Lepisosteus oculatus: one gene and its partners. The protein of the gene in region 1 interacts with the protein of each later gene in a biochemical or structural test. Links are inferred from orthologs where the notes say so. Each region holds a gene or a part of one and is shown on either strand. Other genes may lie near its edges.

The links.
Region 2: of the proteins of prkn (region 1) and septin5a, one has a biochemical effect on the other in vitro, tested with the Homo sapiens proteins (2 studies listed by BioGRID). The link is inferred for Lepisosteus oculatus from reciprocal best matches to the Homo sapiens genes PRKN and SEPTIN5.
Region 3: of the proteins of prkn (region 1) and mfn1b, one has a biochemical effect on the other in vitro, tested with the Homo sapiens proteins (3 studies listed by BioGRID). The link is inferred for Lepisosteus oculatus from reciprocal best matches to the Homo sapiens genes PRKN and MFN1.
Region 4: the proteins of prkn (region 1) and caska form a complex in vitro, tested with the Homo sapiens proteins (2 studies listed by BioGRID and IntAct, with this or other methods). The link is inferred for Lepisosteus oculatus from reciprocal best matches to the Homo sapiens genes PRKN and CASK.

The regions. Positions count from the first base shown.
Region 1 is NC_090712.1:15,389,653-15,397,899, reverse strand, and holds the start of prkn (E3 ubiquitin-protein ligase parkin), read left to right. Parts: upstream 1-4,959; 5' UTR 4,960-4,997; coding exon of another isoform or gene 4,998-5,004; intron 5,005-5,029; exon of another isoform or gene 5,030-5,772; 5' UTR 5,773-5,827; coding exon 5,828-5,897; intron 5,898-8,247. UniProt on the Homo sapiens protein: Functions within a multiprotein E3 ubiquitin ligase complex, catalyzing the covalent attachment of ubiquitin moieties onto substrate proteins. Substrates include SYT11 and VDAC1.
Region 2 is NC_090717.1:1,152,076-1,159,444, reverse strand, and holds the start of septin5a (septin 5a), read left to right. Parts: upstream 1-4,235; 5' UTR 4,236-4,250; coding exon 4,251-4,424; intron 4,425-7,369. UniProt on the Homo sapiens protein: Filament-forming cytoskeletal GTPase. May play a role in cytokinesis. May play a role in platelet secretion.
Region 3 is NC_090708.1:1,648,659-1,656,788, forward strand, and holds the start of mfn1b (mitofusin-1b), read left to right. Parts: upstream 1-4,681; 5' UTR 4,682-4,705; coding exon 4,706-4,771; intron 4,772-5,975; coding exon 5,976-6,099; intron 6,100-6,308; coding exon 6,309-6,444; intron 6,445-6,561; coding exon 6,562-6,724; intron 6,725-7,390; coding exon 7,391-7,515; intron 7,516-7,966; coding exon 7,967-8,075; intron 8,076-8,130. Other genes in the region: calcium-activated potassium channel subunit beta-3, read right to left, coding at 100-206. UniProt on the Homo sapiens protein: Mitochondrial outer membrane GTPase that mediates mitochondrial clustering and fusion. Membrane clustering requires GTPase activity. It may involve a major rearrangement of the coiled coil domains.
Region 4 is NC_090710.1:3,905,321-3,912,926, forward strand, and holds the start of caska (peripheral plasma membrane protein CASK), read left to right. Parts: upstream 1-4,357; 5' UTR 4,358-5,258; coding exon 5,259-5,317; intron 5,318-7,606. UniProt on the Homo sapiens protein: Multidomain scaffolding Mg(2+)-independent protein kinase that catalyzes the phosphotransfer from ATP to proteins such as NRXN1, and plays a role in synaptic transmembrane protein anchoring and ion channel trafficking.

The DNA of each region.
Region 1 (8,247 bases):
TTTAAGAAAAGGTATGCATAATCTACTGTTCCGGTTAAATCATAATTTAACCCGCAGCCACCAGCAGGTCGCCAGCAGCCAGATTACCCTGCAACTCACAACTGGCAGCCCACTGAAGCTCAGCGGGTGTGAGCCTGGTCAGTACCTGGATGGGAGACCTCCTGGGAAAAACTAAGGTTGCTGCTGGAAGAGGTGTTAGTGGGGCCAGCAGGGGGCGCTCACCCTGTGGTCCATGTGGGTCCTAATACCCCAGTATAGTGACAGGGACACTATACTGTAAATAAGCGCTGTCCTTCGGATGAGACGTAAAACCGATGTCCTGACTCTCTGCGGTCATTAAAAATCCCAGGGCGTTTCTCGAAAAGAGTAGGGGTGTAACCCCGGCGTCCTGGCCAAATTTCCCATTGGCCCTTACCAATCATGGCCTCCTAATAATCCCCATCTATGAATTGGCTTCATTACTCTGCTCTCCTCCCCACTGATAGCTGATGTGTGGGGAGCGTTCTGGTGCACTATGACTGCCGTCGCATCATCCAGGTGAAGCTGCACATTGGTGGTGGTGGAGGGGAGTCCCCATTACCTGTAAAGCGCTTTGAGTGGAGTGTCCAGAAAAGTGCTATATAGGTGTAAGCAATTATTATTATAATAATACTGTACATATGTTGTCATGTTCTTACTTTAAATCATGTATTCAGTATGAGTATTCATGTATTGGTATGTTTAAAACTACAATGTCACAGGGTATAAAACACTTTTAAAGATGCCACTGGACCTACAGTACAGTACCATAGCAGTCATTCTCAATGATGTGTTTGTCAGAGCTTTGCAGCAGCATCATAATGCATTTTGGCTGAGGTATTGTTCACTATAGGGCTCCTACTTTATAGAAATGTTGTGCAAACTAATGTGCCCTTAATTATGAAGTAGTACATACAGTAGCCTTAAAGGTGTGTTGAATCAAAAACAAAAACAGCAGAACTACCTGTACTGAATCCATATCACTGTCGATTGAACATAAAACAATTGAGATTAGTTATGGCACAAGGTTGGAAATTGTCACTAAACATAACTAGATTGCAATTATTATTTATGTTGAGAACTCTCCAATAATGTAAGATAGAATTTCATTAGCCAGAGCTCCCCAGTGAGTCATATTTGCCAACACATGTCCAGAGTGGAATGGAGATGAACAGTTGGCAGAGCTGCTCAAAGAAGTCCTTTAAACTTACGAAATTTTAATGTTCGCCTGGGAGCAATTTACAGGTTCAAGTGTCCATATTTGCTGAAAAATACTGCTGCATAAATAATGCCTAATGTACTGCACTTATATTTTTTCAGTGCTGTTCACTTTAAATTCAGCACTAAAAGAACACTGAAACTCTATCACTACAGAAAGATCAAAGATATCTGCATCTTAGGGAATGCTTTATACTGTCCATTACATACTCTGAGCTTTTGAATAATGTGCAAATATGCTTATCTAATATTGGGCAAAAAAGTAGCAGAGGGTGGCATGAAGCAGTTACATGAAAGTATCATCCTCACTTGTAATGTTTTAAACAAGGATGAGCTTCCATAGAGAAAACAACCTTTACACTTCCTAGTAGACTAAGCATGTTGTTCATGTCACTGAACCCTATTCTTTAAAAAGTCTATGCTTTGTCTAATCTCTTGGCTCAAAAAACAAAAAATGATTTTCAGTTTTCACAACTTTATTTGAGCATGATTGAAACAGACCCTGCAAACAGCTCAAAAAACATTTGGAAATCCAGAACAGAATGTTACCTTCCTTAACCTTTTCCGAACAAGGTTAAAAAAAAAAACTTAGAATGTTCTTTTATTGTAGAATTATTGGAACCTGAAAGCTTGGAACTAAGTACAGTGTTGACCCCTGGGAGAGAGGGGGGTAAATATTATAATCTGTCATTTTACTCATTAATATGTAAATTGAATCATGTTTAGTCAATCATCTAACCCTGTAACTTTGGTTGTAATATGCCACATCACATTTGAAGAGATGCAGAAAACATTACATTGATGCATTTTCAATTTGAATATTAATGAAGTTTACAGCATCTACCAGCCCCAATGCTTTAAATAGTCTACATGTTTAAAAAGCTGCACATAAATCTCTCTAGAAAGACTAATAGAAAAAACAACATAATTATGTAAATTAACTCTTTATACCCAAGACTTTTTGCATTTATCCTAAAATCATTACACACCCAGGGTGGCAGCAGGTCCTCATTTTATTTTTGCCAAGATTCCTTTTGCTTAAAAAAAAGAAAATCACTGTTGAACACACAAAGACCATGAGCACATGACTGGACTGTTATCTCAAAACTGGTTTAGGACTCACTGGATATCCAGTACTGATGGAAAGCACACATTTGTAGGGTATGAAAAACTGCATTCTAAAAGTATTTACTTGCCAACCGTCAATGCTTAACGCATTAAGCTTCCACAAGACAGAAACAGAAAATCTAAATGAGGCAGGGCTTCTATGATGTGCATCTAGAAATAATGCTACTGCATATGAATTTTATGTTTGAATTTGTATGAATCTAAAATTAAACAATAAAACATTATAAATGAAAAAATAGAACTATTTTTCATACCCTTACTTCCTTGCTAGTGTACAGTATGTAGGGCTAAATACTGTATTTTGAAGCAACTTATTTACAACTGCGAACATACAGACATATAGGGTTTAGTATAGGATTACTATACTAAAGTATAGTAAAGACATATAGGGTTTATCAGAGTTGGAATCTTGAGCATTTTGATGTACAGTAAAACGGCACGAAGCTGCTAGAATTTCCAAATACACTGTAAGCAGGAACTGAGAGCCAAAACACACAGGTAGTGTCAATCAATGTATAGTTCACATAATAAGGTGCTGGATCACCACATGAAACCAGTATGGCCTGTATGCATCATCACATAGAGTGTACACCATCTGGAGTTCTGCAGCAGGCATGGAGCACCATTCTTCCATGAGAAAGCCTGGCTGATGGAAGTGAAAAAATGCTCTGGAAAAATCCAAAATATCTCATAAATGCTCATTTGTGTTTACAGTATTTCTGGTGAGTGAGAAGGCCATGACATACTTCATACTGTAACACACATCAGTGTACAGCTGATTAAACTATTGGGAGACCACACATGCTCAGTAGATGTGGACATTGCCATCAGGTAGATGCCCCCCATGAAAAAAAAATGCTACATGGGGTGAAGACGATCACTATTAAGTAGCCAATAACATCTACCTTGCCTTCGAAAGGAACAAATACACCCAGACCATCACAGGAATATTATTATAGCCCCACAATATTATAGAACCACCAGAATCCTTTACTGTTGGAACAAAAAGCTCTACAATCCTTGAGTGCTTGAGGTTGTCGAGAACATGAAGGATAATTCCTCTAACCATATCACATCTCTCCACTGCTCAGCAGTCCATTGCCTGTGCTCTTTGTACCACTGGACGTGCCAGGAGTGAGGAGTGGTTCCTGCACTGCAATCCACCTCTGTACAGTGTACCACTTTGAGGAGCTCTTACAGACCACCTTTGATTAAACTGGATGCTTGCACCCCAGGTTGGCATTTGCAGTCAGATCACCTGCTGCGTAATTGCTTGGCTTCGTTTGCCCTGCACTCTGAATTTAAGCATGGATATCATGATTATAGTTTGTGCTTCCACTTACTGTTGCGAAATCTCAACCAGTTGAGCCGTCTTGGTCACCGAAGCTCCTGCTGTACTCACCTCAACAAACACACCTCTTTCAAAGTCACTGTGCTCTCACAGCCAGAATTCCAGAAACCAGGCCCTCCTGTTTTTATGCATGCCTCTAAGCGTGCTGGGATGCTAGCTGCTTAATTAAAGCATGACCAGAACTGAGTGGGAGACCTTGCTTTCAATATCCATAGTGTTCCCCCTTTGCTGGGTATTTCCATTGTTTCTGTCCAATACCTGTATATTGCAGTTTGTCATTTTGAAGTCCTCCATAACACCTGGAGAGTTAGCAAACTGTTCTAATTTGCACCAAATCGGGTGTCGTGTAATTTGGTCAATTGTTCTCATATACTGAGTTTTACAGACATACCTGGAAATACTAAAGTTAAACAGAACACAAGACGCATTATAAAATACCACCGGCGCCCTTCCTTAAATTACCGCTAGAATTGATCTTCGACTAGCTCGACAGCAAAACGTCTGCTACGATAGCAGGAATCTGTTAAGCACATGCAATCATTTTCAATCATTACAATAATGTATGAATGATTACAGGGAAACTGTACTCACTCGCCAAACTGCCGAAGCAAAAGCAACTTATCCCGAAAAAGCACAACCAAATGAAAAAGTCCCTTCTCTGTTATAAGGCGAGATTTTACATGTGATTACCAAATACACAAATTTTACTTAGAAAAACGAAAAAAAGTTCCAGGCTATAAAAAACGGCACCATACATTTTTAATTATAACAAAGAGATCTCTGGTTACGTACAGTTAGAACTGGACTGGCAGCGATGCACTCGCTCGCACCGTTTTCAGGGTCCTTTCTAAGTTTTAGTTCTAAGGTTAGCAGTAAAAAAATAAATTCGTGAAATAAGACGACCAAACCGTCAACTCTTGTTTAATGACCTGAATTCTTCGTTTTGTGCAGAGACTGACCTACCCAATTAAATAAGCACTCGGTCACAACCAGAAGAAGCATGCTATAAAATACATAAAACTCAGTAGTTGCTTTCAAATAGTAGTAGCAGAAATCATGACAGCAATAATAAATTACGTTTGTATCTTGTAAATCGTTGCACGAAAACGTTGAAACAGAAACGGAAAAAAAGGGCACTACATTTCCCAACATGCTTCAGGGACCATTACACGTGCGCTGATGCAGTGTGACCTGGGATGTCGTAGGCCATAGCCTTAAATACAAACAGAGACGTGTGCGTAGACTGTCAGTGTCACATTGTCAGAGACTGCGTCTCTTCAGCATGATAGGTATGTGACTCTGGTGATACTGTGTGACGTGTCTCTCTTGATTTCTCTTTTTCTTTCGAAATAAGAAAAAGTGCATCTAACCTGTAATTCAGCTTGACGACGGGAGATGGTAAATAGTGGCTTGCAGTTCATGATCCCAGCTATAGAAATCAGACGCTTAAACGGGGAATAGTCCCCTCAACTCCGCATTCTAATCTTAAAACTATACTATTATTCTGAAGAAAATGTATAGTGCATGACACCATTGCATAATTAATGCTGCTTTTCATTTCCCACTCCGTTGTTTATTACTTTTTTGTTTAAATTGGTTGCTTATCTACAAATAAGCCACGAGATACCTATTAAATCCTGAGACATTTCACGCAGCTTTTGACAGAGGTTAGTTGAGGGTATCACGTGATCTCTCGGTGGCTCTTTTTTTCTGTGCACTTCTCATTATTAGCAGGTGTTGTGAATCGATAGGATAATGAGCGTTTTTAATTACGTGCTATTGCTATTGCACATAACTAGGTACGTAGGGGAAAGTATATAGCTTTAAATTCCCCATACATTCTTGTCATTCTGTACAAAAGACGCAATGAAAAAGATTCAGTGCACAATATTTATGTAGTGCCTCTTAATCCCAGTTTTAGAGAGACTGTGAGAATTCTTAAAATCTGAGGCAGTGATATGATTAGTCATCAAATTGCAATTTGAACATTATTAAAATACTTATAAGCATCTGCAGAGTGTTTCCCTTGTAGGAACAGTGTTAATTTCATTATGAAGGCTGTAGCTGGCATTGGGGTTACTGCAGCATGGAGCCAAGAGTCTGACATTGTGGATGAGCCCTTGCTTTTTAAACAAGGTGGCAGTTCTGACACTGAAAGGTGTTGAGGAGAACACCGATCGAGGTAATATATCCCACCATCTGTTTTCGAGCTGCTTCTTCCAGTTCAGGGTAGCTGGAGCCTAACTAGACAAGCAAGGGGCGCAAGGCAGGGTACACTCTGGACGGGACGCCAGTCCATTGCAGGGCAGACACACAGGCACGCACGCAGTCACACCAGGGCTAATATTCTCAAAATATACACATGTATTTTTGGACTGTGGGAGGAAACCGGTGCAAACTGGAGGAAACCCACACGAACGCAGAGAGAACATACGATCCCTGCACAGAAAGTTTGGAATTCAACCCCAAAACCCAGCACTGCAAGGCAGCAATACTAACCACTGCGGCACTGGGCCACCCTGAGCTCATAAACAACATATTCAAAATCTTGAAAGCAAGCTTCTGGCCAGGCAAGGCCTGTAAAAAGTGTTGACCCAGAGTTCTGAATTAAGCCAAAGAGACACAGCTGTACCATTTTCCTGTCGAATGTACCCATTTCTTTTTCTATATCAAAATCTCAAGGTTAACTTGATTCAATCTCCTTGAACCGTGAAATTCGTTAGCAGAACTGTAGCAGGTCTTTATGTGAAGTCAAAACACTTCATATCTTGTGTTGTTTCCAGAACCAGTAACTTTAATAGAAACTTTATTCTAAACAGAACAATAATAAAAAAAAAAACAATTTTTCATGGGATTGGAAAAAGAGCTTGTTCAGCATTTCAGACAGGATACTCCTTTTTTAAATGGCTAAAGGGGAAATACAATATTTGATGGATTTTAGTTTTTTTTAGGATGATATTGAAGCACTAGTGTTAGGGCAGACAAACTGTTTAGCCAAGTGGAATTTTCTGTGCTGTTTATATCTTTGTCTGTTTGGCTTAATCTCATGTCAAATCTTTAGTTAAATATAGCTCTTTATGTTTAAGATATGCTTCCAGTACAGCTGGAAACCTGGAATTTCATCAACATTCTGTATTTTGCATCTCTAGAATCTCTGGAAGACCTATCACATTTATTTTAGGTACATTAGGCCAATAGTAATAATATAATTAGTAGCAGTTGTCTGAACTAAGAATATTCTATGTGATGTGAGATGTGAGACTGTATTTTCTGTACATTTTATTGTGACTTACAGTATAAAATCAGACAAAATGTTTTTTAGAGTTTCTAAAAATCCTAATAGAAGAATTCCTAAAATTTCTGACGTCAAGTACTGTATAAAACCTTTACCACCATAGTTTCAGAAAAGTAAAAAACAAATCTAGATTTTTAATTAGTTAATTGCAAATCACTTGCCCTGAAGCTTGGAGTGTAATTCAGTACATTACCTTTTTTATACAACATCTAAAAGTAAGATTTTCCCAAAGATGTTCCTTAAACTCTGAGATTGAGCCATACTGCAGTATTTATATACTGTATGTATAATCCTAGTCTCTAATAAAACGACAAGTTTATCCCCTTGCATTGAAAACTTGTAGTTTTGTGAGAGTGTGGCTCACATTAGCTGAATGTTTCCATGTTTATTTATAGCTTTCAGTGATCTAAAGCTCTACTGATTGGAGCTGTGTGAATAGTGGGCAGTATAACTAGGAGCTCATTATCAGTGTGTAACCCCAGCCACGTATTGTCAGACAAGCAAGTAATAATAAAAACCTAACCAGAGCTCCAGAGTTACAGTTTGGTTAAATTGTTCCATCAATGTGCGTGCAGGCATGTTCATCTGAGAGAACAATTGTCGATATTGTTGTGGCTTTGACAGGCTATGGCTATCTACAGTACCACTGTACCACTTGGAAGAATGAGCCAAGGTACTAACATAAGTGTGGCAATTGAGAAGGAGGATAGGGAACTGGGAAAGGGCTGCATGTTACCAGTGTCTGAACTTAGGTGGACATATTGAAGAGGCAATTCTGCTCTTTACCACATATTAGTGTCGTGGTTTTTAAAGACCCCGGGGGATGTTGCTTGTTACAAAAAGGCACTCCGGTAACATATTGATTTCCCTTATTAGTCAATCAACCACCGATTCATATTCAGTAACTCCTTTATCCTTAAAGGAGTTAGGTGAACCAGAGTCTGACCCAGCAAAAACAGGATGTGAGCCAGGACTACAACTTAATTCTGGAATTCCAGGACATACATGCATCCAACCATCCATGCAAATGTATGGACATTTTCTAGACTTCAGTTAATCTGGATCCAGTCTTTCGATTGTCAGAGGGCACCAGAGTAAGGAAAGCCCAGGCAAGCATGGGGAGAACGTGCATACAGACAGCCTGCTTTGAATCAAGGACCCTTGAATTGCAACATGACAGTGCTACCTATTGTGCCACAATGTTTGCTCTAATAGACAGCCACATATCTTGGAGGCT
Region 2 (7,369 bases), on another chromosome or scaffold:
TCCGTTTTCCGTGCGTGCTCAGTCCATATTTGGTGCGTGCTCAGTCCATACTCAGTCTGTGTTCAGTACATGCTCAGTGCGTATTCAGTGCATATTCAGTGCATGCTCAGTCTGTGTTCGGTCCATATTCAGTGCGTGCCCAGCCCATGTTCAGTCCGTGTTCACTGCGTGCTCAGTCCATGCTCAGTCAATATTCAGTGCGTGCCCGGTCCATGCTCAGTCCGTGCTCAGTGCATGCAGTCTGCATGCTGCTGTGGAGTGTCACCTGCCCAGTCAGGCTGCAGCTCTGGATGACAGCGCTCTGTCTCTGTAATGCACTGACTGTGGACAGTATCCCAGCCAGGGCAGTGAGGTGTAGCACCGCTGGCTTCAGCTCTGAGGCCCAGAGGTCTGTCCGGTGTCGCTCTGTCCCAGGGCTGCTCCTGAGATGTTCTGGGGAGTCGTCATCCTGCTGTCCTCTGTGTGTTTCAAAACTGCCCATGGAAGCCGGGGAAGGGAGTGGACGTGTGAGTGGGCTCAACCAGGGGCCAACCGGGCTCGGCACGGCTCGGCTCGGCTCGGCACAGCTTGGCATTGGAGTGTAAAGAGGGGTTCCCAGCAGTGTCTGCCGTGGGAGAAAAAAAAAGGATCACCGAGCGACAGCTAATTTATCTGTCCAATGAGGAGCAGAAATCCCCTGTCTTGTCCAGGCTACGGGAGTGAAGCAGCTCTCCTCCTTACAGACGTGACTTTTTAAACACTCCATTCCAGGTGGAATAAATTATATCAGATCCCTTTAATATTCCTAACTTCTTCCCTCTGGAAAAGGTTTTAGGGCTCCCAAATGTAGATCAAACACTGTAGATGCAAATATTCACTTGTTCCCCTGAATACAAATAAACGGCAAGGGTAAATGCTATTGCATGTGAACCATCAGTGTACATACAGTGGCGTTTACCCTGGTACAGTATAAACCGTTTATGCTGTAACAAGCTATATGGTTAATAAGTCATGACGTTTTTTGTTGTTGTAACACATGTGCAATAGGTGAGATGTGTAATGTTTTGTGATGTATTCAGATGTACAGAAGCAACGTGCGTCTATATAAAAGTTCCCCTAGAGGACAATAAAGTTTATATCACCTTAAATAGTAAACATAGAGACTGCCTGAGGAAGAGCTTTGTGCTTGAAACGCGCTGCGTTGGGTGTGGGGTGTTGTGTGCTGTTTGCTCCTCGGGCTCTGTTTATTGTTTCGCGCCCGTCGAGGTAGCAAGTCTTTTCTCAATCAAGTGGCTCCCTCCCGCGGCGAGGGACGAGGGCGGACGGTGTCGCCCGTGACCCGCGGATCCAGCTGCCGGGAGACCCTGGGTTTCTTTCTGAACACTTCTCCGCGGTCGAAAGCACGACCGCACGGGATCTGCCCTGAAAAACACGACCGCAGGCTATCTGTGCCGATGGTTTCGTTTATTTGCGTCCCTCCCAAAAACAAAACCCCACGTGCAGAATTTCCGGTTCATTACTTCATGGTGTCATCTAGCAGGGCTCGATGTAAACGCGCGAGGAGCCAGACGTCAAGGCGTGAGACCGGTCCTGCCGCGCATCGCTACGAAACAGCATTTCAGCCCTGAAAATGGACGTCTTGTGGGTGCCCACGTTCTTGTTTGGAGTTATAATACTGCGGCGAAACCCCGCTTACTGTGGCTGCCCGTGCACGGCGGCGCACCGTGACGGTTTCACGACACGAGAGTGGGTGTGAGTGCTGGGGTGCCCTCTCCCTGTCCTGCTCTCGCACGCAGTGAGGCCTCTGCCTGTGCTGGCGCAGGTCGGGACAGCAGGCTGCTTCTTAGCGAGAGCCTTGTGTTTTTTTTTTTACCAGACCGGCAAACACTGGGCCTCTGTTGTGCTGGAAACCCCAAATACGAGCTGGAGACCTGCGCTGTTGGCAGGGTGCGACTGTAGGTGCTGCTCTTCCTGTGGAAGGAATGTAGCGCTGTGTTTTCAGAAAGCTGAAAGCTCTGATTGTCATGCGGCGCGCGCCTGTGTTTCAGGGCACGTGTGTGCGTGTGTGTGTAGGGGGAAGATCAGCGAGTGTCGTGTGAGCTATGAGTCATTGCCTCAGTTCCCCACTGTGAATCTCAGGTGCCCCGGCAGCTGGGGAGTGACTGTGCGTGTCTGTCTGGAAAGGTTTGTGTGTGTGTGTGGTGGTGGTGTTGGGGAGGGGGGGGGGGCAGGCATCGCCAAGGCAACAGAATCCTTCAGTCTTCAGGGCTATTGTGACATCACAGTGAGACATCTGCTCCATTCATGTGTGTTTCCAGCACCCTGCTGAGTGCTCACCCTGCCTTCTAGACAGACATACTCACTGGCCCCAGCAGCTGGTCCCGAGCCCACCCTCAGCCCCCTGGGTCACAGCCGCCCCCCCCCCCCCTCCCCAAGAGGTCGAGTTGGGATGCTGTAAGCCAGAGCGCCTTTGCCCTCTATAAGGGGGTCTTTATTGTTTTGAGCTAGGCCACTGTGTTGCTTGCTTCTGTAATTGCTGACTTGCTGACAGCATTTCTTGGGGCTCAGAAAGATTTTTGACATCATTTCTTGGGCGGTGTGGCGGCTCTGTGGCTCAGGATCTGCGCCTGTGGCTGGGAGGTTGCTGGATTCTATCCCGTGGCCGGCAGAGGAATCCTACTCCATTGGGCCCCTGAGCAAGGACCTTCACCCCAGCTGCTCCAGGGGCGCCGTATAAATGGCTGACCCTGTGCTCTGACCCCCAGCTTCTCTCCCTGTCTGTGTGTCTCATGGAGAGCAAGCTGGGGTCTGCGAAAAGACAAATTGTATCTGGCCAATTAAGTAATCTGATCTCATTTAAAAAGAGGTGTAGGGCGTCTGCTGAGGTTGTTTTTCTCAGCCGCCTCAAACAGGACCAGTGTTCCTCTCTTTTCTTCATGCTCTCATTGCTGCTGCTGCTGCTGCATTATCATTCATATTATCAGGCCAGGGCTGGGCTGGCAAGCAAGCCAGCTGTCTCATTATTAATGAGCGCTGTGCTCCTGGATGGCGTCATTCCTGGCTCTCCGCTGCCCCCTTGTGGGACGGAAGAGAATTGTTCCAAAGCCCGGAGCCCTTCGACACAAAGACCTTTCCCTCTGGAACAAGCCTGTGGGTGTGGCAGCGCTGCCCTGGCAGGTGATGTATTGGGAATCGGTTCGGCTGGGAGCTCTGTGTAGCTGCAGTGGACTAAGGCTTCGGCTTCAGCAGGGAGTCTGGAAGCAGCGGAGGGACTGGGGGCTGTGATGATTTGGGGGTACACAGCACAGCCTGCAGAGCGGGAGCTGTGTGGGTACAGGCTGAGGGAGAGGGGGGGGACGTCCTGCATCCCTGACAGAACTGGGGCGCTGTTTTCCTCGCAGACTTCAGCCACATTGCTGGTAAACCCAGCGCACTGGCGAGCGCTAAAAATAAACAGAAAACCGAATAAAAAGGAACCAGTCTTTGTGCTTTGATACCCACGTAGAGCAGGAGTAGGAGAGTCAGCCTGGCTCACCCAGACCCCTGGGGGCAGGAGCCTGCGCACACCGGCGCTGTCGGACCGCGTGTGAGAGCCCAGGGCTCGTGATAAATCCCGGGCCGGCTCGGGCTGCTGTGCAGGGGGAGTGCGCGCACCCAGCCCGCCCCCCGCCTCACTGTGTCTGCTGCTCAGGCCGGTGACTGGGAGCGCTGGTCCCCACGTCGTCTCGCGACTGGGACCAGCACAGGGCACGCCAAGTCGGGCACAGAAGCCAAGCAAAATAATAATCATAATTAATAATAATTGTTTACACCCTCCTCCACCCCCAGTGTGCAGCCCCACCTGGGTGATGCTCCAGTCCTCTCACACACACCAGCTCTCAGTGGGGAGGAGAGCAGAGGGATGGAGCCAGTTCAGAGGTTTATATGCACAGAGATGTCTAAAATAAACACTTCGGTGTCGATCCCTTTGCCCTGCAGCCTGATTCCTCCAGCTCAGTGAGGGGCCCGCTTCTCAAGGGCAGACTTCCTTTGCAGTGCGCGAATAACACAGGCCGCCATCGCGGTTTCCTCCTGCCGGCAGCCGTGAAAGAACTCCGTCTCGGATGAAAGCTCGGGCTGTTCGCTGCCGGCTGCGCCCCTCGCCTCTGCACCACCCCCCCTCGGAGGCAGGAAATTCCACTCGGCTGGCCAGAATTCCAGCCCTGCTTCCCAGAGCTGGGGGGAGGTCTCTGAGAGGGGGTGGGAAGGAGGGATGAGGGATAGGGATAGGGATGAGGAAAGAGGAGGAGGAGGAGGGCGGATTGAGCGCTTCCTCGGCTCGGCCGCTGCGTCTCCGGGCCCTCTCCCCGCCGGCTCCTGCCTCTGTGGCCATGGACGCGATTATCCTGCAGGAAAAACTGGTGGAGCGTCTGCTGTCTCCCAGGATCAGGAGCAGCCGGGTGAAGGTAGGAGGGGGAGGTCTGGGAGACGGGGAACCGAGCTGATGGGAACTGCAGGCGAGGTGGCGAGAGAGGGGCGAGCCGAGGGCGCGGGTCGGGAAGAGAGGAAGGGGATGCTGGGAGGAAGCGGGGGTCAGGGGTCACTGGCCGACCCAGGGGGAGAGCGAGGGCGAGAGGGAAGCAAAGGTGATGGAGGGATAGAGGAGGAGATTAGGAGGAGGAGAGGAGGCAAACAGATCAACCTGCAGCCTAAAGTCCCTGCAGGACTCCAGTGGGGTTCAGCTGCGAGGGCAGTTGAGCACTGAAGGACCAACAGTGTAACAAACAGTTGTCTGGATGAAAGCCCTGGAACGGGTGGTTTGGAGGAGAAGAGGCTCCTGGCGTAGGATTAAACAACCCTGGGCGTTTGTATGCTCACGTGTGTGTATGTGTGTGCGTGTATGCGTGTGAATGAGTGTGTGCGCACGTATCTGTGCATCTGTTTGAGTGTGTATATGTGCGTGTGTGTGTGTGAATTTGAGTATATGAGGGAGTTTGTGTATGAGTGTATACTGTATGCATGTGCATGAGTGTAGATGCATGTCTGTGTGTGTATGAGTGTGTGTGAGTGCATGCGTGTGTGTGAATGTGTTTGTGTGAGTGTATATGCGTGTGTGTGAATGTGTGTGTGTATATACGTGTATATGAATGTATGAATGTGTGTGTATATGCGTTTTTGTGAGTTTGTGTGAGTTTATATGTGTGTGAATGTGTGTGTGACTGTATGTGTGTGTATGTGAGTGAATGTGTGTGTATATGCATGTGAGTGTATTAGACTGTGTGTGAATGTGTGTGTGTGTGAGTGAGAGTATATGCGTATGTGTGTGTGTATGTTTAAGAGTGTATGAGTGTGCATGTGTGTGAGTGTATAAGAGTGTGTGTGTGTGTGAGTGTATAAGAGTGTGTGAGTGTGTAAGAGTGTGTGTGAGTGTGTGAGTGTATAAGAGTGTGTGAGTGTGTAAGAGTGTGTGTGTGTGAGTGTATAAGAGTGTGTGTGTGTGAGTGTATAAGAGTGTGTGAGTGTGTAAGAGTGTGTGTGAGTGTATAAGAGTGTGTGAGTGTGTAAGAGTGTGTGTGTGTGAGTGTATAAGAGTGTGTGAGTGTGTGTGAGTGTATAAGAGTGTGTGAGTGTGTAAGAGTGTGTGTGAGTGTATAAGAGTGTGTGAGTGTGTAAGAGTGTGTGTGAGTGTATAAGAGTGTGTGTGAGTGTATAAGAGTGTGTGAGTGTGTAAGAGTGTGTGTGTGTGTGTGTGTTAAGAGACCCTGAGCTGCTGGCTGCTGGGAGAGCAGGACTCTGGTGCGTCAGACCCGCCAGCCCTCTCCCGTCAAGGCCCTCTCAGTGTCTGCGAGAGGCTGGCAGGAGCAGCCCCGCGGGCCCCAGTGCCAGCTCTTGTTTACAGAGCGGGCCCGCGGGGCTGGCACGGCCCGGTTCCCCTGGCGCCGGGCTGCAGGACGGCGTGTGCGTGGGGGAGCCCCTGAATGAGCCCTGTGTCTCAGTGTGCAGGCTGGAGGCGCCGGCTGTGCCACCAGCCCGTCCTGCGCCCAGCTGCTGCCGCGTCTCAGGGGTACCAGAGCCCCCGTCTCACTGGGACTCACTGGGACTCTCACTGGGACTCACTGGGACTCACTGGGACTCTCACTGGGACTCTCACTGGGACTCTCACTGGGACTCTCTGGGACTCACTGGGACTCTCACTGGGACTCTCACTGGGACTCACTGGGACTCTCACTGGGACTCACTGGGACTCTCACTGGGGCTCTCACTGGGACTCTCACTGGGACTCACTGGGACTCTCACTGGGACTCTCTCACTGGGGTTCTCACTGGGACTCTCACTGGGACTCTCACTGGGACTCACTGGGACTCTCACTGGGACTCCCCTGCACTGAGGCGCTCGTGACATTTCCTTTAGGCCTGGGCTTATTCTGGCTCCTTTCCTCCAGACCCCTTCCGGGGTGTGATGTCCGGTCTCTCCTGTGGACAGAGTATTCCTGCAGTGGTCTGAGCACTGTGCTGCGCAGCTTTGCCAGTTAGGACATTCTGGGGCGGGACGGCAGTGACTCTCCCAGGTTCGGGACCCGGGGGTCGAGCTGCAGGAAGGATAGTTTTCATTCCAGCTCTACTTTGCTGCTGGGACCCCGCCAGCCATGTGAGGGGTGTCAGGAAGCTGGCCTGCATGGGAAGTGATCGGAAATGATGGATCAGGCAGCTGAAGGCCCTATTCAGCTCTGGTCAATGAACTCCCTGTTCCGGCCTCTGTGTGTCCACACAGGGCCAGCTCAGCCCATAGAATAAACAGACAGAGAGGGGTTCATCGCTCTCAAAGGCTCCCAGTCTGGCGTAGAAAACGTTCCCCAAGCACAGGCACGAGCCTTTCGTTTCTCGTCAATGCGGCGTCTTGTTGCGTGTGAGGAGCTCTCTGCAGGTGCTACAGGACAAGCCCCTGTGACAGGGGGGTACAGTCCTGGTCCTCAGAGGGGGGGCAGAGTGTCTGTAGGTTTTCCTTCCAGCACAGCTCTTGACGAGCTGAACCGGCGGGTTATTTTTCATAACTGGACACATGTAACAGCCTCTCCCTGCTCTTCAGGTGCTGCGGGTTTAGAGGAGGCTGGGGGAAACCTGCAGATATAGCGCCCTCCCCCCCTCCCAGGACCGGGACTGCACCCCCCTGTCATAGGGCTGTGTGGAGCGTGCTGGGGCGCTGGGGTGAAAGGGGGTGCCGAGCAGCCCTGGCTGACCCGCTTTCTCTGTTGATGGTCGGTCGAATGCCCAGTTGGCCCGCCTGTCCTCTCTAGACCTGGGTATGATATCTTCAGGGGTGGCAGTGCAGCGTGTCTCTGGATCGGCCCTGGGCCGGTACATTCTGTATGTCCAACTAAACCCTTTCCAAAGACTGGGGACACCTGGAAGGT
Region 3 (8,130 bases), on another chromosome or scaffold:
AAACGACGAAAGACGAATGGGGGGCCGAGCAGTCTGGGGCGGCGGGGGAGAGGACTTCTCCGGAAGAGCCGGAGAAGGCAGAGAGAGTGGTTACCCTACCTGGTGAAGCGTCTGCGCGCGCACTGCAGCGTGATCTGGACCGGGACTCCGCAGGACCCCCTGCGCGACGCCGGCTGGAGAGACATGTCCGCTCCCGGCTGGGACATGGCAACGCGGACCCCGGCCCTGCCGCGGCGGAGCACACACACACACGCTACCGCCCGGATGAAGTGCGTCGCAGAGGCGTGGAGCCTCTGACGGGAGGATTGCAGGTGCGGCTCGCACCCTGTCCCTCACCTGGGCCTGGCTGCCGCGGCAACCGCCCGGGTTCCTATAGGAACGCCAACAGACGAGCCAGCTAACGATGCCCCGTGGGCTGTTACAGGCCCGGAGGGAGACTCCTTTCCTCAAGACGTGCGTGTCCTGTGCTCCATGTTTACGAGGGATTAGCTCCTGCTGCGTGCGAGGAGGAGAAGGGAACGAGAGGGACCACTGCACTGCCCCCCCACCGGGGGGACGCTGTTCAAAAACACAGCACACGGGCAGAGGACGGGCTCCTCCGGTCTGCGCCTTGGACAGAGCCGGCGACCAGGCGACCAGGCACAAGCCTTCAACAAGCTCAACCCCGCAAACGTCTCCGATGAGCAGAGCGACATGAACCGGAAGACTCTGGTGGAAACTACTCGAAGGTGTACTTCAAGCTGAGAGGCAGAGGTGTGGGAGTGTGGAACAAGCTGCTCGGCCATGTTGTTCAAGACGGTACCCTGGCCTCTTCCAAGAAACAGCTGGATGAGATCCTCCGATCACCAACATACTGACTACCAAACGGTTAGATGGGCCGAAAGCCTTTGTCCCGTTTCCTATGTTCAGAACAGAAGGTTAATTAATCTCCACAATAGGTGATGCAGCTACCAGACGAATCGGGCATAATGTGTGCAAAAGGTTACAACTCCCTCAGATATTCCGGCTCAGACTGAAATTTCAGATTCTGCAGCAAAAGCAAACTGCATACCAACAGTAAAATACTCGAGTGGAAGAGACGTAATTTTGTTTCCATTTTTGTCCTGAAATCTTTGCTTTGCCCGACAGTTAGAGAGGGTTTATGGGTTAAAACAGCAACAGGGTCTAATGTACCTATTAACTCAGATCCCAGGCAATAACGCTCTTTCTATCCTGTCCTTTCACTTCATACCCAACCACGAACTTCATTCCTGCTTTCAGCAACCGCCTAACGATCTGTTTGTCACGCTGAGGTTCTTCATGTCAAGGTGTTGAAGCTGGTCAAGACACATCACCACCTTCCCCTGGCGCTCAAATCTCTCTTAACTGCTCGCAGAGAGCGCAGGAGAGGCAAAACCAGCGAACGTACTGTAACTGTCGAGGGTTTTTAGTTCACCGGCACACGCGAAGCGCAACGCAACGTCTTCCGCAGCAGTTGAAAGAGAACTGATGCATGCATACAGATTTTAAGATCCTTCCAGCTGCCTACAGTTAGTGCCTTCGTTCTTGTCACTGCGTGCTTCATGATAAGACAAAGCAAACAACATAACTGTGACATTTCTCGGACATGGACGGAACTGGGCGCAGCACTATCTTTCCAGCCCTGTCAGCAACCGGCACACTTACATGGGCAGTGTCATCGGCGCTGCTGTGGAGGACTTCAGCCCAGGCGATCTCTCTCGGTTTTTTCAAGGTTCCAGCGAACTTAGTCCTGTTTCTCCCATTTCCCGGGCTTCGATCTCCCAAACCGCCAGGGCTTCAGCAGACTGGAGTTTCAAATCCAACTTTCACCCTGACAATATCCCTCTGTTTAATAATGCATGAAATGTGTTTGTGCAGGTGCTGCTCGCAGGGGGAAAAAAGATATCAAAATAACAGAAGGGCACGCAGACCTTTGCTGTACATGCAGATTTTACGAAGATATATCAGTTTTTGCTGCCGTAGGCAGGAGTGATGTAAAAGCTGTGTGCTGCAGAATCGGACTGCTGTGTGTCCCCAGATGGGTATCACCGCCTGCACATGTATAAAGATGGAAAAAGCCAACTGGGTTATTGAAGAAGCATTAACATGTCCCTAATATTTTAAAGTGTAAAACTTGATCTATAATCTGTAGCTTCCAACATCTCTTGTGAAGGCGCTAACAGGCAGGCTCTGATTAAAAAAAAAACATCGATTCGCATCTGTCCCAAGGCCGCCGAGAACAAAAGGCAGTGACTTTCTTCCTCGTTCTTTTACAGATGTGTTATTTCGGGGAAATAACAGGCCTAATAAAGTGATGTTATGTTAATAAAGTGGTGTCATCCACCTGAGAAGACTTGAAAAGACATAGAGGAAACATCAATTTTTTCCCCCGGCAAACTCATCCTCTCCGTTTTCATCTGCCAGATGTGGGACAGCTGATATCGTTTGAACTGCAACATGCGATTGAGTGAAACATTCCCAAGCACCTGGCGAGCCCGTGCCCTGGACCTCGGGACTGTAGAGCAAAGAACCGGTTCGTATCCGGCCCTGCTGGGCGCTGTGGCCAGACTCCTCTAAAGAGCGGAGCTGGGGAAGGGACCCGCGACACATCTTCCATTGCAGGGCCTGCAGTGATCGGTACACACGGAGAACAGCCGAGGTTTGGCTCCGAGTACCGCTCTTCGTAGCAGAGTCCGTTTTAAGCGACTCACAGCTGTAAAAAAGGTGCATGCCTGCAGGACGGTTTTCTCCGGACAGTGCCTTATCGTTCCGCTTGAGGCCACACGGGCACCTTTTCAAACAGGGAAACACGATTGTGAAGAACGTCACGAAGAAGGAGTGATGAACTGTGAATAACTTCTCCCTTCATTTTCTCAAGATGCTTGCTGTTCCCGCCTGACAGCGATCTGTGACATGGGCGCTCTTGCTCAGAACCAGACGGACCAGGGCAGGAGTACACCCTCCTGGACTGAGCCCAGTCCGCTACAGCGCTCACGCAGGGACCATTTAGGGACAGCGCTGTACCGCACCAGTGTCTTTGAAAGAAAGAGAGGAGAAGACCCAAACGAACAGGGAAAGAACATGCAAACTCTGCACAGAAGACCGGATTCACACAGAGGACCCAAGGGCTGAGGGCAGCGCCGCCCCGGCCAGTGAGACACCGTTCTGTGGGTTGTATTAATGTAATATGACTTTAACCTGTGTTTACGTTGTAATATCAGAGTCTAGCGCGGATGGGCAGTTCAAGGATCGGTGAGCAAATACTACGATTTTCTTGTTAACTGCAATATCACTCTGAAAAAGCGCTCTGTGGCGATACGGGCCCACCCGTGCAACTCACTTTATTGGTTGAAAACCGATTCCGGTCTTTGAAAGATTGTTTTTAAAGCTGCGAATGGTGGTTCACAATATTTTTGGCTCACTAACCCCTCTTGTCGAGGTGAATTTCGGCGCCCAAGGTCAGGGTAATGACATTTAAACGTAAGCATCTCGTTGCACTTGTGCATATGACAAATAAACTGAACTGAGCTGAACACTGCAGCGCTTCACAGCGCCGGCGGGGTCGCTAGAAGAAGCAGTGACACGCTGCGCCCGCCAGGGGGGGGGCATGCCTCTGGTGCTTTGAGCTCTTGTCCCTCCCGCCCCGGACGGTTTACGCCTTGCGCTCTTGTTTCCCTCCCGGACGGTTAACGCGGTGCGCCCGTGAGCTCGACCCCGCAGTCACGCCTCCCCGGCCGGGCCGAGTTCTGACCGAGCAGCGGAGCGGAGCGACCTGTCCGGCTCGACAACACCGCACTGGCCGCGGAGTATGAGCAGCCGCAGCTGCCTGTGAGGAGGCCCGGAGATCAGGATAGACGAAGGGAGGCGGAATCTCAGCTCTGTCAGGTATAGCAGGAGCTATGTTGCGGTTTTCTGCAGTTCCGAACAGTGATGAGAATGTGAGGAGACACTGCGCACAGATACGGTGGCAGTTTCATGGCGAGGAGGGTGTTTAGGTGCATAAAACTGGCTGGCTGTCACCATTTGAAGATCCTGTAGCCCGGTTTAGTTTTTTTATTGCTTCCAGGCAGTTTTGTTAACAGGAATACGGTTTCGTTTCGTTTCGTTTCGGGCGTGCGGTCTTGTTTCAGTTTTAAATCTTCAACTGGGTAGTTTTAAAGTTCCAGTACTGATAATACCGGAGCGGTTCCAAGGTAAGAAATCTAAACAAAACACAGGCCTCTGTGTCTTTCTTGTTAATCTCCTGTTTATGAAGCTTGTGTCTGACCAAGGCGTCCGGCCCCAGTCGAGACAGGGAGAGAATTCAGGAAAGGGGAATAAATTAGTCTGGGATACTTGCCGGGTCATTAATTAGCGCTACATGAAGGAATGAGGGATATTCTGAAAAATTAAGCCTTGCTTTGCACAGCCAGGTTTTCCCGCGAGTTGTCTATTTTTCCCCAAGTCTGCATAATCATTCGGTTCTGAAATTCTTTAACTATCGGGATAAAGATATCATTGGGTCTGAACCGAGCAATGTCTGCAACTTTTCCAGTGTGACGTAGGACAGGTGAAGCGCTGTCGTCACGTACATCGCCTACCTCATACTAGAAGACTTGTGTGATAGCACCAGTTTCAACACTTCAAACTGACGCTTTTTTGCCTTTAAGTGTCTGATAACCACAAGCTATGCTTTAAAAATAGCTGTATAATATATATTCTTTAAATGTTATTCATGATGACTTTTAAAGACCCAGAGACCATGATTGCTACAGTATTAAAAATAAGCAAGGTAATTTTTTTCATTTTTTTCTTACTACGTGCTAGGGACATCTAAAACTGGCCATTGAAAACGCTCCTTTTCTGTTTTATAATATCTGCTTTGTGATTTTCCTGCTTGTGAAGTGTAAACAGAAACAAGGTACTAAAATAGATGGGGATTAGCCAGCTGTTCCCTTTGCAGTGCAGACGTCACTCGGTCAGGTCAGGGGTGCTATTTCTGTGCTCGTCTGGTACTGGGGAAGGATGCACAGTATTATTGAACCCCAAGATTATCAACTTTATTTGCTTTAGTATTCTAACCTTCTGTAAGTTTGAGAGACAGACTTGGAAAGAGATACTACACAGAAGCGAAACTAAAACCTTTTCCCCCGCAGTCTGCTCAAGTGGTGTGTGAGATGGGTGGGGCTGTAAAGAGTGTGTTTCCCAGTGCTCTTCTGTGTTTACACACTCTCACAGGGTGTGTGTGTGTGTGTGTGTGTGTGTGTGTGTGTGACCTTACTTATGCATCCTAGGAGATAAGCCAGTGTCACGAGGTCACCCACAAACCAGAGCTTAACATTACCTGTCCAGATCTCTGTATGGCACAGAATTCTCTAGTTTTCTCATGGGTCTGTTCCTGCTGTAGCAGTGCAGTCATGTTTCTTGCACAATTAATGTACAATTATGAGCAATTCTCTGACTCTTTGTGCTTGTGGAGTCCCAAATCATTCCGACCAAATAGCAATAGTTAATGGCCTCTTACAATTTTTTTAAAGTGAGAAACATGATCCAATCTATAAGCTTGTTGCAGACTCTCTCACCCCTTTGGGTAAATAAGGACCTCCTGTTCTCAGTTTTAGACGCACTATGGTGCGTCGTCCACCTGTGTTCTCTGATTTGTGTTTCCATGGTTATCCTGAAAGAAATCCACAGGCTTGACTCAGTAAGTGATTTTAAATACTTGAATCAGGTCGCTTGATAGTCTTCTCTGTTCAAGATCAAAAAGGTTCAGTTCCTGTCGGTGTGGGATACTCCCTTCAGACCAAAGAGACTCAGTTCCTCCAGCCTGTCAGTGCAGGACACTCCCTTCAGACTAAAGAGACTCAGTTCCTCCAGCCTGTTAGTGTGGGACACTCCCTTCCAACTAGAGAGACTTAGTCTGTTTGCCTGTTATTGTGGGACACAGCTGTGATGTCCACAGTCCCTCACGTAGTGTCGAACTGGCTGCTTTTCAGGACAGCAGCATGGAGCAAGGAGACCAGTCCCCCCTGAAGCACTTTGTGCTGGCGAAGAGGAAGATCAGCTCCATCTTCCAGCAGCTGCTGGATTATGTCAACGAAGGAGCGGCATTCCTGGAAGGTAAGGGAAGAGGACCGCAGGAGTCGGGATCTTGGCCGTGCTGCAGGTGCTGGAGTTTGCGTCCATCCCGGCGCTAAACCAATCGCTGGGCGCGCGAGTGCGCCGCCACAGCAGGGCCGTCCTCGTTGGCTACAAACCTTAGAGCTGGGCGGGGAGGCGGGAGGAGAGACGTGAGACGTGCCTGAAGCTTTTCGGTCTGCTCCTGCCAGAAACCTGCCGGACCGAGGAGCTGGAGCAGATCGCCACGGCGGAGCAGCGGGCGCGGATCCAGGCGGACACTGAGAAGATCGCCGTGATCAGCGAGGTCCTGGCCCGGAGGCACATGAAGGTGGCCTTCTTCGGCAGGTACAGGCGCCGCGCCGCTGTTCCTCCGCGTGCCCCCCCCCCCCCCCCCCGAGTGCGGAGGCCGCCGGCGCCCGCCGGCGCCCGCCTGACCCCCCGCGGCTTCGTTTCCTTTCCCAGAACCAGCAACGGGAAGAGCACGGTGATCAACGCCATGCTGCGCGACCGCGTGCTGCCCAGCGGCATCGGCCACACCACCAACTGCTTCCTCAGCGTGGAGGGCACAGACGGGGACAAGGCCTACCTCAAGACCGAGGGCTCGGAGGAGGAGCAGAGCGTCAAGGTGCGGCAGCCCGAGTGTCCGGGAGCTGGCGCTGAGGGCGTTCCCAGCCCTGCTGCCCCTGTACCCTCGGAAAAGCACGTCGGTGTCAGCCGGGGCCTTGTGGGAGCCTGCGAGGTTTTGAAAGGCGGCGCTGTCCTGCGCACAGTGGTACCGGGTTCCCCCCTCCCCCCCAGCTGCCACACGGCAGAAGTCAGGGGTCACTCCGGGGCCCCCTCAGGGGAACTGGGCACGGGCGTCGTGGTGCGCTGCTCCGCAAGAGTTGAGAAGCTCGGAAAAGGCCCTGCCTGGCTTAAGAGCTTGAGGAGGGTTGATATTATTCTGGCAAGCGGTGCAAGCAGTGTGATTCCGCCCGGCACTCCGGTGCAGTCCTGGGAGGTGGGAGAGGTGCTTTGAGCCCGAAGGGGGATATAAATTTGGGATCAGAGGCTGTCCTGTCGGGGCAGGGTACGTCACCACCTGATGTTGGTTGGCTTCATCTGGCACAGTTGATGCCTGGAGTGACTTTATTTTGTACTGAAATCACGATGGATGTAACCGAGGCCTGTCTGTGTTCTGCTCAGTCCTGTGAGTGCTTTATATGAACTTAAGTAACAGGATTTAAAAAAAAAAGTGTTCAGCATCCCTTTGTCTGCCCCCCGCTCCCCGCTCCCTCCCTGTCGCCAGCAGACCGTGAACCAGCTCGCCCACGCCCTGCACATGGACAAGAGCCTGGACTGCGGCTGCCTGGTGAAGGTCTTCTGGCCCAAGGCGAAGTGTGCCCTTCTGAGGGACGACCTGGTGCTGGTGGACAGGTATAGTGCCCGGTCCGAGGCCAGGGCCACTCGCGTCAGGCAAGACTCCCCCTTCCCCTCTCGAGTCTGTTTGCTGAGTGCCTGAACTTGACCACATGTGCCGAGAGCAGAATGAGCCCAGGCCTCTCCTGGCCTGTCATTCCTGTTCAGCTGGTGTGCTAAGAAGAACAAGCAAGGGTGCTTTAAAACACACTTAACTTTCATTTAATTTCACCAACGGTTTTTAAAGAGCAATGCTAAGTTTGCTATGTGTCCTTAAGTGTTATGTCAGCAAAACTTAGTGTTGCCAAAACTTTGTGGTGGATAAACGTCAGACCTGGAGTCCAGACATTTTACAGGGCGGGGGGTGTCTTGTCCAGTTTCCCAAGGCTTGGAGACGGACCTTGACCCCTGCAATCCAGATTACACATGCAAGGAGTAGTAATTTGTGAAACTGGTCTCACTCTCCCAGTCCAGGGACTGATGTGACAACTGAGCTGGACACCTGGATCGACAAGTTCTGTCTGGACGCGGATGTGTTTGTCTTGGTGGCCAACTCCGAGTCTACGCTGATGAACACCGTAAGTGTGCAGACGACCTGTCCATCTGCTTTGCTCACAGGAGTGCTAAACTTTT
Region 4 (7,606 bases), on another chromosome or scaffold:
ATAAACTATCATTTCTGGTTGTTTGGTTGAAATGCTGTACTGTTGCCAAAAATTGACTGGTCAATTATGCAACTTACAAGTAAAATATACCTTGCCTGCAAAAGTACTAAAGATAAAATACTGGTTCTCATTTAGAAAGGCTTTATATATAAGACTAGCCCCATAGACCCCATAGCAGAATCAGAATACTATGATTGCTTTGATTTATGTAAATAGTTATATTTTGTGCTTATTCTAAAGGAGAGCTGCTTCCTGGTTAAAGAAGAACTAACCTACTGACATTTAGACATCTGTAAAAAGGATTTCCGGCTAAGACAAAGACTTAAGCGTATGACTGAAGCTTTCAGGCTGTGCCTGTCCACTCTTCTGTTGAAAATGTTTGCAACTACATCGGTGAAAATAATGTAGCATACCTAAAGAGACAGATGAAAAACTGATCGCTTGATTATCAGGAAGGCAGAGGGGGACAGATGTTCCACAGTTAAAACAGCTCAAGAACAAGGCACAGCAGATGTCATTTTTCAAAACTGAGAAATTAAACTGTGAAATATTGTGTAGCCGCACCCATTATTTACAGGTCGCATGAATGGAAATAATGATGACGTTGCAGTACAAAGTGATCTTGGATGGACTATGTACCCCGTAGAGCCTTGAATGGCACCTTATTCACATGTGAGCTGCATTGAAATGCATGACAGGGGAAGGGTGCTGTCACAGATGTCGGAAGGGACAAACCGTGGAGAGGCAGGAGAGCGAAAAACACCCTATGCGAAGTGGCGGAACGGGGAGTTAGCCCGGGCTCAGCAGTGCAAAGAGTTCTGGAGTGCTGTATAGAAACCTAAGCCCTAAGGCCACGGACAGAGCGGCGACCTGGTGCTAGGCGGGTCTCAGGACATCTGAACATCAATGCTGAGCGAAGCAGAATAAGTGACCCGGAAATATATAGCCCCAGAGAGAGAGACACCGGAAGGAGAGCAAACACAGGAAACTAGGGACAGGACAGAGAAGGAGCGCCCTCTGGCTGCAGAGGGCGTGACAGGTGCAAGGCGATATTATATGTAAAAGACATCTGAGACAATGCCAGACAGCCTTAAAGCTTTTGAAGAAAATAAAGGGACACCCCATCATACATTAACAGCCCTAACTAGCTCTGGTGATAGAGCTTGAAACTCATAATCTCAGGATAGTGGGTTTGTGTCCCTCGTTGGGCGCCAGGTCCTCCACGTTGGAGGTTGGGCACAAGGTGAACAGCCCTGTCCTGTAACAAAACCCAAAATGTTATGGACAGGATGAAACAGGATGTTGCTGCCCCTACATCCCAGAAGGCATAATGGGCAAACATCCATCCATCATACATGAATACATTCTAGTAACCTTTTGAACAGAGAAGTGACTGAGAGCCTCTTGAGTGGCTCATATGACAGCCTGGAGACTGTTCACATACAAGTTACACTCTCTGGCATATCCTGGCTTTGGCTGTGGTTTCCTGTGGGTGTTGCTGTGAAGGTGTCGTGTGTTGGGATGGTGGATCTCTGTACTTCAGGGGTGCCTTCAACCCCCCCATGAATTTAACAAACCTCAAGCAGTACAACACCCTCTCATCCAGCTTCCCAAGAATCCTTCTAGGTCCATTCAACTTTTAGGTCCAAACCCACCACTCTTGAGAAATTCCCTTCTACTGTATGTCATTGACCACTGATTCGGACCATATGCTTGCATGACTGATGACTATTTATCAGTAGCAGCTATTTCCCTTCTTTCTATTGAAAGAAGAACTTTGTTATTCAGAGCTGCAGAATCTAATTGCCAAACAAAAAAAAATTGCAGCTGGCTGGGCACCCCCTCTGTCTAGTAGGATGCTTGTCTAATGTCTTCATTAAGCCTCCCAAGTCCATGCAGAGCTGCAGTCATGAGTCTGGCAATTCCAGACGAGGTGTTTACAGAAGGACAGAAATAAAATTGGCGAGTAATGTTGTTTTTTTCTCGGAAATGGTGAAATGCTCCTATCTGTGTCAATGTTGAAACTTATGTGATTCTCAAGGCCAGGCTACTATATACTCCCTCGTTAGTGTCTGCTTTTTTCTGGTCTTATGTTGATATTAATATTGGTATTATAACGGACTTTTTACAGCTGAATTGACTCCGCACCTTGCTTTACCTCTGTGTGATCTCCAGATAAAGAGTGTTTTATTGAGGTTAAAAGATACTTTGGCACTACAAAAGCTTACAAGAGTACTTGGGTGTATACAGAACAAAAGTTTTCAGAATAATAATAACTTTGAACATTTCCTTCTTGATTAAAATGCCATAGTTTTATTCCTTTTCCATGTTTTCTTAGATTTGAAATTCCGCCCATTCAGGCAACCCAATGTCTTACAGGAATGGGCCATGGAAATAGTACAAATAACATGCGTTAGTGACAACTGCAGTAAATGACCTGCTCTGTTTGAAAGAGGTTGCATTGTATCCGTGAGGAAGGAATGCTCTCTGCATGTTACATTGCTTGACAGCTCTGTCATGCTGTTTGTTAAAGCTCTTTGCTTTATTCACTCTCACAATTTCCAGAAGCATTGATGGAAATCTCCCAGGAATCTCTCCAGAGAAGCTTCCATGCTGAAAAAAATAAAGTTTTATGCATAATAAAGAGGAATAAAAAACAAAAGCTAGGCTCACCCCCTGGAACCAAAGGAAAAGAAAAACAATAGTCCTATTGTTTCTTTTAGCAAAAGACAAGAATGGATTTTTAATATTTTAGCCCCAATTAGGCGAGAAGACTGCAATACTATCAATCCATCTTTCTCAGAGGAAGGGGCTGACCAAAATAAAAAACATTCAAACAGAAAAGGCATCCAGATGCGAACTGTAAAATTATTCTGATGTTGTTTGAAGCCTTGAAAGCACAATGACGCAATAGAAGAATGTTGCCATTTCTGCTTAAGTGGATGCTTTTTAAGAATGGCTTCCTGTTTATGTGAAGTTTTATTCAAAAGAGCAGGCTCCACATGCACATAATGACACCCCTCTAACACGAAGCACAAAATAGAACAGACACAAACACTTGCATGTAAATGAGGAAAATAAAAAGGTGTTACATGGCTACAATGACACTACTGTGGGAACAATTCCATTATTTTTGGTCCTTTTAATATAGCATAGTGTGTTTCCATTAACAGCTCTGTTATAAATTGTCAAAACGGTTCCAATAAAATTTAACGTTTTTAGAATTTCAACTGGAATTTCAAAGGTGACATAATGTTTTTTAGGGAAGTGACATTTACAACCTTAAACACCTCTTAATAGTGCTTGTTTTAATATGTTTAATATATCCAGTGGTACTGTTCCTTAAATTTATAAATGACTTAAAGCAGAAAAAAAGAACTGCTTGCTTTGTGATTTGCTAAAGCACAGCTGCTTTCACGTGCACGTCTGTCTTGTTCAAGGCTGAACCGACAGCAGACATACCCTCCAGCAAACATTTTAGTGCTACCATAGCAATCACACACAGGTCATAAACGTTTAGATTTTGAGGCGGTTTGAAAACACTTACAAATAGGATCCATTTACACATGCGTGCCAGAATAGCGAGCGGTGAACCCGCCTAACATCCTGAACTCCCAGTTGCTAAGTGTAAATCCAGGAGCATTGGGTGGCTTTTAATTGTATCCGAGGTCAGCCTTTGTGACTGCAAAAGCTGCCAGTGGCTCAAGTGTCTGCTTTCTTCAGATACAGGGCTTCCCATGAATACAGTGTATTGTTGATGTTGTAGGTGGGGTCATTAAGATGTGATGTGATGTGGCAGGGCTGTCATCTCGTGTTCGTGACTTGAGCTCCAGAAGACGAGCTAGCAGGTCATCACGATGGTTACAGCGCTATAGGAAGAAAATGCATTCGGTAGTTTCACTGTACAGTACGTGCGAATATGAAGAGGTTCGAAGTTTGCTTCCTATATTTCATTTACAAATGGCTTTTAAACAATGATTAACAAGGTGGCAAACATTTAACAAAATTCCAAGTGGATATTTCTATTCACAACGATTTATGAAATAGAGGTATTAACACTCCAAGCTGCCTTCGCTAACTAGCTTTTCTGTTTCGCACAAGCTGAGTAAGCCTTTGCTACGCCTCAGCAATGAACTCTTTCCCCTGCCCCATCCAGGTGCGGTGAGTCACCAGCCACCTCTCCTGCCGCCTCTCCTAGTCCCCGCTTTTGCTTGGCTGGGTGGAAAAAGAAAAGCATTTGTGAAGGAAAGAGGTGACGTCACCCGATGGGTATAAGGTGCCCAACGCGTGCGCCGTAGGCTTTCGTTGCTACCTTGGATTGGTGGACACGGAGCAAGGTTTTATTAAGAAGGAGTCAGGAAACTGCGTCTTGTTTAATAAAAAAGGCGAAAGGTACGCCATCTTGGATCCCCGGGCTGCGTTGTGCATTGCAGGATTCCCAGGCTCCCGATGGAGCCACAATGGCGCTCTAGGAGCCAGTTTCGTAACGTTGGGAGGGAGGAGCCTGCCGTTTCTGGAAGCCGGAGCAGCAGAAGCAGCAGCAACGGCGGTGGCGGCGGCGGAGTGGCGGAGTAAGAGAGGAAAACTAGAGCAGCGGCGAACTGGAGAAGAGACTGGGAGATCCATTTTTTTTTTACAGCGCTGGTACACCTGAACACACACGGGGAAAAAAGCGTGTGCATGAAAAGACAGACAATGAGCGTCTTTTAAGAGGAGCCCAAGCAAGCACGGCGTGCAAACTAGCTGCACGCCCAGGAGGGCATCGCAATTTGTTGGATTAATCCCGTGCAATATTATTTCAAAGAAATAAATCTATATATAGAGGCATCGCAGCGTGGACTGGGAGAGCTTTAGCTACAGCTACACCGAGGAGCAACGCAGACGCAGGCGTAGGAGAGGCGGAGTGTTTATTTTAAATCGCTTGAAAATCTCAGTTTGCAGCCTCAGAACTGGGGGATTGGGGATTGAAGCCGGGGAGACGAGGAGAAGGTGGGGCCGGAGACCGAGTCAGACAAACGGACTAAAATACGCAGAAATCGCCGGAGCCCGAGCGCCTTTGCTTTTTTTGGTGGGGGAAAGGAGTAATTTTCCGCCTATTGGAATTTGGAAAGCCACCGAACGGCGTTTCGCGATTTTCCCAGTCTTTCCCTCCCCCAGTCCAAGAACAGCAGTACAGAATTGTGATCCTTTGTTTTATTTTTAAATATACCGTTTTGGCTGGGCATATTGGGGGATAATTTCCCCATTCTTGTTGGGCCATGGCCGACGACGACGTGCTGTTTGAAGATGTATACGAGCTCTGCGAGGTGATCGGAAAGTAAGTGCCGTGTAAAAATTCAGATTGTACAATGAAATGCAATGCATTCTGTTTTTTTTTTTTAGTTACAGACGTTGACGCAAGATGTTCATGGCTTCACGAGTTTAATCGTGTGCTTATTGGCAAACTAGGTGTGAGGTTTTTAGGGATGTTCCTGAGCGCACGATTTAGGCTGTTGTAATTGAAAATGACTGTCCTGGTGCATCAGCCGAGTCTATTGGGAGATAATTCACGATTTCAGGAGTTGAAACGAGTGACCGTTTCGCCTGGGGTTGCTCTAATACATTTCAGTTGACAGTTTTAAAATGCACTTCGATTAAAAGGTCTTGTTTTGGAGAGACTGCACGTATTCAGAAAAAAAGGCGTTGACAATATTGAGTTACAACATCTGGCAGCAGTAGGTGGGATTTGACACATTCATAGATTTCCATTTAAACCTTTGTTTTCAATGTACAAGATTCAGTCAATCTTGTGGTTTTGCAGAGGCATTCTGCTTAATCTGTATAGATTTTGTGCTTAATGTGTGTAACATTTTAAACCCTTTCTAAAATCCTTGTATCTGTAGGCGGCCCTTGATATGGTAATGGACAGCTGTGTGTGAAACATGAATGTTACACGTAACTCTTAGTGTAAATTCGACCGTATGCAATGGAGCAATTCTCTGCATGCTACTGGCAAAGTGAAAGTGTTTGCTGTTGAAGATAACACTGTGTGTACTTCATCAGTGTTTATTTTGAACTATTGCGGGAACTCATCCGTTGCTTTCTTTATCCGTGTTGTGTAATTACGCTTGGCAAGGGATAAATCCAGACCAAGATTATTCAAAACGGGGATTAAGTTTTAAAGCAGTAGCATACCTTTCAGAACAACGAACAGGATATCTTCTTTAGTAAACGCTTTATTTCCGTATGGTTTAAGAGATGGCAGTCTTGCATCCGTTTATAAATGAACGCTTCACCTGTGTCGTGTGTTGTAATTTTCGCTTACTTTTCGTGGACGGGACTTTTTTTTTGTGGTCACGGTGATTTTGCAGTGTCTGCTTTTCGCTGACAGCTTTCGCTCAGGTGCACGGATGATCAGGTTGTCTTGATTATTAACGTGGGCATAACATGCCTTTTCGTATATTAAGTGAAGGGTTTACGCAATCTTACGATTTTTCATCCCAATATACTAAACATTTCCATTCCAATCCCGCTTACGTTCTGAATGGGTTTTAGTTGACGTACATCTCAGTGTGAAGCGTTACATGTGATTGCATGTGGTCACATGATGGTCGTTAACGTATTCTTCCCCACCAAAGAAACATTAAATGGGAGACTTTCCCTGTAATTGCCTATGAGCTCAGAGCGCTGATGTGTTTTGAGAATGCAAATGGAAAATTCGTGACCAAAAAGTGGAATCACGACAAAAACCTGAAAATGAGCTTCTGTGATCGTGGCACAGGTTTTGCTAAAGGAAAGTGAAAACTATGGAGAGCTTTACTGCTCCGCCCTCTTGAGAGTTTTAACGTACACAGTATAGCGTGATGAGGTGAACTACGATCCACATACTAAGTGAGTATAGCGTGCTGGCCTTCTCCTCCAGCAGACCGCAAATCAATACAGGAGTCGGTTTAGTGTAGGAATCGCTTTCCACCAGATTGCAAACCGTCTGTCCTGCACAGGATGTGCCTTCTCTTTTTGAACCAGAATGCAGGGTGCTGTGGCTGATGATTTGGTGCATGTCACAGTGTGTGCTTTCCGATTTGTGGGTACATTTGTGTACTTGAAGGAGGCTGTTCAGATGTACACATAGTTATTAATAACATTAGTGACCAAAGGCCTGACTGTGAACACCAAATTACATTGCCGTGGTGCCTGGTAGTTCACAATTGTGAACAGAAATTAGGTAATCTGAGATATGCATTGAGGTGTAACGTGTAGCCTATGTAGTAAATATTTTTGGTTAGTTATGAAGCCACTACTAGCAACTGTAATGAGAAGCATCAGTTAATCAATTTTATTTATAAGGCATCGTTTCACATTTTGAGGTTCACAATTACATAAATGTTTCCGTATGTCCAGACAGTTTGTCATGGACAAAAGCAGAGAATGGCACAGCTGTGGTGTATAGATGGGGACAAAAATGGTCTCCAAACTGAGCTACAAAGCCAAAGTGCTGTTAACCTAATATCTAAAATGTGACAAATCAAAAAGTAAGGGGAAGGTCGATACTCCACTCGAGTGATATTGCAAGGCCTTTCACTTTCACAACGTGCTGTTTGTGTGAAAGTCACTAATACTTTGTGAC